2 linked regions of the Macaca fascicularis genome follow. The protein of the gene in region 2 purifies or fractionates together with the protein of the main gene of each other region. This does not show direct contact. Links are inferred from orthologs where the notes say so. Each region holds a gene or a part of one and is shown on either strand. Other genes may lie near its edges. The genes, in order: PTPN6 and CD33.

The links.
Region 1: the proteins of CD33 (region 2) and PTPN6 purify together in Homo sapiens (co-immunoprecipitation; 4 studies listed by BioGRID and IntAct, with this or other methods). This does not show direct contact. The link is inferred for Macaca fascicularis from reciprocal best matches to the Homo sapiens genes CD33 and PTPN6.

The regions. Positions count from the first base shown.
Region 1 is NC_088385.1:7,893,941-7,897,745, reverse strand, and holds part of PTPN6 (tyrosine-protein phosphatase non-receptor type 6), read right to left. Parts: intron 3,216-3,805; coding exon 3,026-3,215; intron 2,871-3,025; coding exon 2,754-2,870; intron 2,650-2,753; coding exon 2,536-2,649; intron 2,361-2,535; coding exon 2,264-2,360; intron 1,628-2,263; coding exon 1,548-1,627; intron 1,352-1,547; coding exon 1,202-1,351; intron 863-1,201; coding exon of another isoform or gene 842-862; exon of another isoform or gene 659-841; intron 116-658; coding exon 1-115. UniProt on the Homo sapiens protein: Tyrosine phosphatase enzyme that plays important roles in controlling immune signaling pathways and fundamental physiological processes such as hematopoiesis.
Region 2 is NC_088393.1:59,037,138-59,041,616, reverse strand, and holds the start of CD33 (myeloid cell surface antigen CD33), read right to left. Parts: upstream 3,011-4,479; 5' UTR 2,803-3,010; intron 2,642-2,802; 5' UTR 2,479-2,641; intron 1,610-2,478; 5' UTR 1,413-1,609; coding exon 1,380-1,412; intron 278-1,379; exon of another isoform or gene 250-277; coding exon 189-249; intron 127-188; coding exon 1-126. UniProt on the Homo sapiens protein: Sialic-acid-binding immunoglobulin-like lectin (Siglec) that plays a role in mediating cell-cell interactions and in maintaining immune cells in a resting state.

The sequences.
Region 1 (3,805 bases), on a different chromosome or scaffold from region 2:
CGTGTAAGGTGCGGAGTTTGTATTCGGTCGTGTCATGCTCCCCGCAGTTGGTCACAGAGTAGGGCCCATAAACGCGCTGAGTGCCCACCTCGGGCCAGTATGTGACACATTTGTTCTGGAAAGGGAGGGTCGGGTGGGGATGAGGCACAGAGCAGGGCGCTGTGGCCCATCCCAGGTCCCGCTCTAGGTTCTGAGTGCCTGGCGCCAGCCCAAACGTTTGTTGGATGGATAGATGAGCTGGCAGAGAGGCAGGAGACCTGGGCTCTCGTCTCAGATCAGCCACCAACAGGTGGTGCGACCTGGCCAGCCGCTTTACTGGTACATCCATTTGTCATTCAACAAACATTGCCGAGGCAGGCGTTGTCCCCGAAGCCGTGCAAACCAGGCTGTAGTCACAGACACAGCTAACACCCAGTCTGTGCCCCTGTGCCTGGAGGAGCTCACAGAGACAAGTGACCGGGGAGACGCCGCGCTGAGGAGCGTGGCTGGGAACGAGGAAACTCGCCCTCTAGGTCCTGGAGAAAACAAGACCTGAATTCACAGAGAAGGCAGCGCTTCAGCTGTGTCTTCAAACACGAGGCATCTGCCGGGCGGAGACAGTGTGGAGACAGAGTCATTTCCTAGCAGAAAAGAGCTTGTGCAAAGAAAGGCTGGGAACCTGAAAGAGCCGCGGCTGCTGGGAGCGGTGAGCCTTCAAGAGAAGCGTGGGAGTCACAGGGAAACCACCAGGCCTTGAACGCCAGGCCTTCGAGTGTGACTTTATCCCAAAGGTGACCAGGAGCCATGGAAGAGATTTCAGAGGGGAAGGAACTCGACCCAGTTTGTCACGGATGGCATCACTTCAACGGCAGCACAGAGGGTGCTGTGTAAGGGGAGGCTGCAGAGTGAGGGGCAGACTCCACAGACATCTATGGGGCAGGGAGGACAGGAGGGGCCTGGATGCAGACAGGTGGGGAAGGTGTAGGAGGAAGGAGGACAGCCTAAAACCTGGGTCTGGAGCTCAGAAGAGCCCAGGGGTGCATGCAGGGATCTGGGGGTTGCATCGTGTAGTCGAGACTTTGTCACTAGCCCTCAGTTTCCCAACAAGGCTGGACCCTCACCCCCGAGATCCCTTTCTGCTCTGGCATCTGACGGTTCTTTGACTTAATGGTATGACCACAAGGACGGGGCACGGATGTGGGGATGGGGCGGGGTGCCCTACCCGGCCTTTCTCCACCTCTCGGGTGGTCATGACGATGACGCGGGTGTTCTCCTGCCACGCCATCTGCCAGAAGTCGTTGACCGTGGCCTCTAGACAGCCCTGGCTGGCGATGTAGGTCTTAGTGTTCTCATCAGGGCCTAGCAGCTGGTTCTGGACACAAGCGTGGAGAGACGCACCCCAAAACAGTGAGCCCCTCAGCCCAGCACAGGGCCTGAACCACTGCTCCCCTCACCCATGCAAGAAGCCAGCTTTGGCTTTGCCCAGGTGTCTCTGGATCTAGGGTCCCCCACCAGACAGGGAATTCCCAGGGCCCAGCCTCTCCTCCCACATGACCCACACCACTGACCTTGATGTAGTTGGCATTGATATAGTCGGACCCCGGGATGTTACTGTCACGTCCCTGCAGGATCACTCGGCTGTGGTCAACTGGGAGTGGGTGGAGAGGAGGCGAGATGGCCTGGGTCAGCCAGGGACTCACCACACCTGTGTCAGACCCTCCTGAGCTAACAGGCCGTTCTGGTCTCAGAAGCCATGAGGCTTGCGGGGGACTGTGGGCAGCAGGGGTGGGGGATCATCTGTACGGAGGGAGTGAGGGGATTCACAAGAAGGAGGTTAGGAGCAAGGGGCAGCCTGCCTGCTGATGGTGGGGAGGCACTTCTGGGAGGAGTAGAGGCCTTTTGGAGAAGGGGTGTGGGGAGATGGCCCCTCCTGGAGTGGAGGGTGGAGACCTGTGAGATAGGGGCGGCGGCTGGAGCGGGGCGGTCTCCTGGGTGAATGGGGCAGGGGCGGCGGTTGGGGCGGAGCAGTCTCCTGGGTGAATGGGGCAGGGGCAGCGGCTGTAGCAGGGGAGGTCTCCTGGGTGAATGGGGCAGGGGCAGTGGCTCGGGTGGGGCGGTCTCCTGGGTGAATGGGGCAGGGGCGGCGGCTGGGGCGGGGCAGTCTCCTGGGTGAATGGGGCAGGGGCAGCGGCTGCAGCAGGGGCGGTCTCCTGGGTGAATGGGGCAGGGGCAGTGGCTGGGGTGGGGCGGTCTCCTGGGTGAATGGGGCAGGCTGGGTGCTCACAGGGCAGAATGTTCTTATAGCGGTTCTTGCCCTTGTTCTCTGGCCGCTGCCCTTCCAGACGCTGGTGCAAGTTCTTCACCTCCTGCTTCTGCAAACTCTGAGATGTGGGTGAGGAAATGAGCATCACCTCCCAGAGAGAGCACCCATCAGGGGAGCTCACGTGGGGTGGGTCAGGAGCAGAGGTGGGCAAGGGGAGGAAGGTGTCCGCCTGGGGCCCCACGCGGCCGCCACCGCCTCAGCTGCCCCAGCCCTGCCGGTTCCCCACCATGCACCTCAAACTCCTCCCAGAAGCCAGCCTTGGCTGTATCCTCGGACTCCTTCTTCTTGTTCAGTTCCAAGACTCGGTTCTCAATGTCAGCCGCATTCACCCTCGTGGCGTAGTACGGCTGGGATAGGGGAGAGCGAGAAGTCAGCAACTCAGAGGTCTCAGAAGCTCACACCTGGGGGACAGCTCAGGGGAAGGGAGGAAGCAGCTGGGTCCCCGCCTGACCTGCCGCAGGTAGACAAAGGCACCTGAGGCCTCCTCAATCCCCGTCTTCTTGAAGTGCTCCACCAGGTCCGTGAGGCTGTCGAAGGTCTCTGAACCACCCACTGTGTAGCGTCCACCCTGGAGGGAGCCAAATAAGGCCACTCACAGGGCTCGAGTCTCCCTCCCTGGGCCCCAGCCTTGAATTCAAGCCCAGGCAGACCCTCCCTGCCACCCACACTGCGGTCACAGACAGGAGCCTCAGCAGAGGCTCCCCCACCACCTGGCTGCCTTACCTCACACATGACCTTGATGTGGGTGACCCTGAGCGGGGAGCCTGGGCCAGCCTTGGGCTGGTCACTAAGCACAGATAGCACAAAATCTCCAGGCTGGCTGAGACTCTCACGCACAAGAAATGTCCAGGGCTCGCCCTTGGCCTGCAGCAGCGTCTCTGCCTGCCCTCCAGACATGTGGCCATGGTACCACCTACAGAAGGCAGCGTCAGGGAAGGTGAGACCCAGGCCACAGGGGAAGGCGCTGAGCAAAGATATTCACAGAGAGGGGCAGGAAATCAAGCACCTACTGTGGCCAGGCACTGCGCTAGATGGTTCCAAATCCACCATCGTATTGATGCCTCTCACAAACATGCTGAGGGCTGGGTATGATATTACCCCCATTTTATAGATGAGGAAACTGACGCTGAGCTGTTACTCACTGGCCTAGGGCCCCTGATGGACTCCAAGGCAAGCCTCCAGAGCTCTGTTGCCCAGGCTGGAGTGCAGGGGCACGGTTATTGCTCTCTGCAGCCTTGACCTCCCAGGCTCAAGCTATCTTAGCCCCCAGAATTCTGACCAGGCTTTGAACCCAGAGACCACCTCTGAAAGGCAGAAGGGCTGGCAATATTCCAAATATTTGGAAGAGGGAAACTAAGGAAGAGTCTCCATGAAGGATCAGGCTGTGCCCCGGCAGAGACCAGAGGCAAAGAGAAACACAGACCAAGGCCACACCACAGGGAGTGGTGGGAGATGGACAGAGAGACACAAGTCACAAGGAAGGCCAATGGGGTGCGCTCCCCC
Region 2 (4,479 bases):
GGGAATTCCTGGTGTGGTAGGGTACGGGATGGAAGAAAGTGCAGGGCACAAGGACGCACAAACCCTCCTGTACTGTCACTGACTCCTGCACTTCCAGCCTGACTCTTGGATCCATAGCCAGGGCCCCTGTGGGGAAATGAGGGTCAGCTTGGCCCAGCCCGACAACCCCCCTCCCAGCAGTCACTCACCTGCCCACAGCAGGGGCAGCAGCAGCAGCGGCATGTCTGAGGCTGAGGTTTCCTGGGCTCCCTGTGTGAGCAGAGAACAGGAAAGGAGTGGAGGAGAAGGGCTAGGGGGCCGGATAGGAAGCTGGGGAGGAGCAGGAGACCTCAGCCCTGCATGGAAGAGGAACCTCAGACCCACACGTGCTCAGAGCTTGTCCCTTCCACACAGATTGAACCTCATGGGCCAGAGATGCCAGAGATCCGCCCAGAGAGGGGAGGAGATGGAGCAGAATCTGAGTCTTGCCTCCCAGGAGCACCGGAGCCTGGACCAGTACCTCCGGGGCCATCTGAGACATGCAAACCCCATGTCTAAAATCCTTCCACTCTGAGGTACTTTTCTGTGAACAACTGTTTGCATGGGGGCTGGTCACTGCTGGCCTGGCCCGAGTCACAGGCTCGCCTAGATCCATGGGGTGATTTGTCCAGCAGGATATAGGATTCTATAGGGTCTGTGTGAGTGTCTGGGGCAGAGAAACAAAGAAGAGTCCTAGGTAAAGTGAAGGTGGCAGCCATTCATTTCTTCATTCATTCACTAAAGACATAGTGAGTGACAGAGCAGGACCACTGTCATCTCAGACAAACACCGCCACTTTAAGTTCCAACTCCCTTTCTAGCCTCATGCATTTCAAGGAAATCACTTCTCTGCTAACTACCAGCAGCCAGAAAGAGCAGACCGGTGAAACACGGATAAGACAGCTCAGGCACAGAGGGAGGTTGGGGGGAAAGTCTCTTGAGTTATTGCCAAACTTCACTCTCATCCAATGGGCCCTAGTAAAACAGTGGGCCTTAATAAGCACATTCCTTTGCCTTCAGGTGCACTAAGTTGGAAAGCTAAATGCAGACTCAGTGGGTATGCCTGCAGCTGCAAAAAGATGTATGGGAACAGATACACAACTCTCCCTCCCAGATAAGCACAACAAAGACACACAGAAGCAGTCCAAGCCTCTGATAAACCCTCCCACCCTAAATCCTTAAAAACTCTTAGTCTGTAAGAGAGTGTGCCTCTACCTAACTCAGCCAGAAACTCCTCTCAGGTTTGTTTTCTCTAAAACCTGTCTTGACTGGCGAGCCACCATACATGTTTCTTTCTTCTTTCTTTAATTCTTACATTGAGCCTTTGTGTGTAGGTGGGGCTTGAGAAGAGATACCACTGACCTGATTCCTGCCCTTGAGATGTTCCCCATCCATAGCCTCATGTCCTCACCACACACACACATATACTGTCTGGATTTAGAGCTGTGAAAAATTGGGAATTTGCCATGTGTCATGGGAGCATATTGGAAAATTTGAAAGAAATTTGACTATAGAATTTTCCCCTGGCAGCTAGTACACTGCTTTGCACAGTGTCGATGACATCTCCAAAATAAGAACTATGCAGCATCTTCCTGTAAAACAAAAGGGAGAACACATGTTCGTTCTATGAACCAGTGCAGAAAAAAACTTTTTTCTGTTCATGCTGTTATTTGGTTCAGTATGGGCAGAAGCAAGTTTTTTTAGAGGCTCATGATATGGATCAACATTTTCATGTAAAAATCTGCTTCTCACAGTTAAATATGGCCCAAAGACATAATATTTCCAGACAACATGAGTGGAATGTACAGAGAAAATTAAACTTTAGGTCCAGCTACGTGGTTGTCCATATCACTCTGTGTAGTATGCATCCAGCAACCCTTGATCCCTGGGACATATTAGTACTTGCCACCTTACCTTTGTCAAATCTCTACACACAATAGTATCTAGATAACTCTTAATTCGTCCTTACTAATAGAGAGGTAGAATCCTCATTTGATATACAACAAATTAAGTCTCCAGTAAATAATATCTGTTGTAAGTTATTTAGCATGTGGCACATAATGGAAAATTCAGTACATTTAGTGCTTTTTTTTTTTTTTTTTAAGACAGGGTCTTGCTCTGTTGCCCAGGCTGGAGTGCACTGGCATGATCACAGCTCACTGCAGCCTTGACCTCCCAGGCTCAAGTGACTCTCCCAGCTCATCCTCCCTAGTAGCTGGGACCACAGGCTCATACTACCAGGCTGGAGTAATTTTTTGTTTTTATTTTTAGGAGAGATGGGGTCTTGCTATGTTCCCCAGGCTGGTCTTGAACTGCTGGGTTCAAACAATCCTCCCACCTTGGCCTCCAAAGTGCTTTGACTATGGGCGTGAGGCACTGTGCCCAGTCACATTTAGTTTTAACAATAAAGTCATACTATGTTCATGGACCAGAAGATCAAATATGAATATGTGAGTCTTACTGTGTTTCTTTAATGAATTTAATGAAGGCCCGAGAACCAAGAGCAGATGGATTTCCCAGCTCCAGAAGAAGGAGCAAGCTCATGCTTCCCTCTAGCTCTTTCCTTCTACGATTCTGTCATCTGATCCTTGGCCCCAGCAGAGTCCCCGCTCCCTGGCTGGAGCCTGAAAGAGAGAGAGAGAGGATGGGGAGGAGGGACCTCTCCTGGGCCCTGTCTCCAACATCCTCCATCGCCACATAACAGCACATCTAAGAATAAAGCGCATGCTCAGTGCAGGTCTACACGAATGAATGCTTTAATAAATGGTGGGGGCTGTTTCCCTACCTTCTTCCTAATTCACACTGCAAAGCTGCCCCTGATGAGGCGTCCCTCGTCCGTCTTTTTCTTACGGATGCGTCTGCTTCCTGCGGCAACCCCCGCCGAGGCTCCCACGTATGTCTGTTTCTCTCACTTTTCAGGAGCTCTGAGCGGCCTGTATGTGTGCATCCGTGCTGCCTCATACCAGGTAGAGCCGCAGTCTATTCTCTTCTGCAGACGGAAGAGCAACGTGTGTTTGCTTTGAATGCAGGAAGTACGTTTGCTCCCATGTGCTGAAAGATTTTGTTGTAAAACTTCCCTGTAGTGTGGCGCCAAGGGAAGCCCTCTTCTCTCTCTGCAGCAGTTCGTGGGATGACTTTTTTGTTTTTACCAACCTCCCATCCAATACGGAGCAAGCCACGGGAGAACCTCCTGTGATCCTCAACACACGAGAAGTGAATGAGCGAGTACGTCCTCCACCGTCGGGACCAACTTTCACGGGGATTTGTAGAGGCTGTAATTCACAGTATGGCCACCAGAGGGCAGTCATAACCCTTCACTTTCCAGTCCTTTCACACCAAAGACACATCAGGTCAAACGTCATGTGAGACTTGTGCAAACAGCTGGAAATAGTTTTTTTTTAATTGGAGAACGCTGTTAGTGAGCCTTTAGTATTAATTAATTATTAATTTATTATTAACTGTTCTAAATCCTTTACCTACAATAGATCTTTTGAACCTTATGAGAATATGAGAGACAAAAAACACATCACCCCAAGATATGGCTGTAGGAGACCAAAATACGCCACCCCAAGATGTGCCTTTTTGGCATAAAGATTATTTCAAGAGCCTGTAGACACAGGAGACGCTCTGAGAACCAGGGAAGAAGTTCCCTTTTTTATTTTTATTTTTTATTTTTTATTTTTTTTTTATTTTTTTTTGAGAAGGAGTCTCGCTCTGTCGCCCAGGCTGGAGTGCAGTGGCCAGATCTCAGCTCACTGCAAGCTCCACCTCCCGGGTTTACACCATTCTCCTGCCTCAGCCTCCCGAGTAGCTGGGACTACAGGCGCCCGCCACCTCGCCCGGCTATTTTTTGTATTTTTTAGTAGAGACGGGGTTTCACGTTGTTAGCAAGGATGGTCTCGATCTCCTGACCTTGTGATCCGCCCGTCTCAGCCTCCCAAAGTGCTGGGATTACAGGCTTGAGCCACCGCGCCCGGCGAAGTTCCCTTTTTTAAAGGGAAAATCACATCTACAAAGGAATCTCCAACAGCGAAGGGGTCTCCCTCTGTACCTGGCAGAGAAGACGACTCACTCACGAAACTCTTATCAAGGGAAGAGGCACCCATGTGATCTGCAAAACAAACCTCGCTGTTGTTTCCTGGTGTGTTTCCCTGTTGCCTTCCGATAACTGGCCTGCCCACACCCTTCTTTCTTTGCTTCTGTGGAAGATGCTGTTTAAGCCTGAAGTCAAAGCCACCTCTTTGAAATTTACTCTTTTTCCCTGGGTGTCTCCCATGTGCACATGAGGTATACAGGTTGCTAACCTCTGTTTTTCTTTTAATAAACTTTTGTTACTTGGGTTCTTCCCAACGGAGGACTTTGAAGTTCTGTCACTCATAGTTTTGAAAGATTTTCTTCTTATTTCGAAGGGAAACTTAAACTCCCCACCATCCTAAAAAGAAGTACATGATCTTTTTCTTCC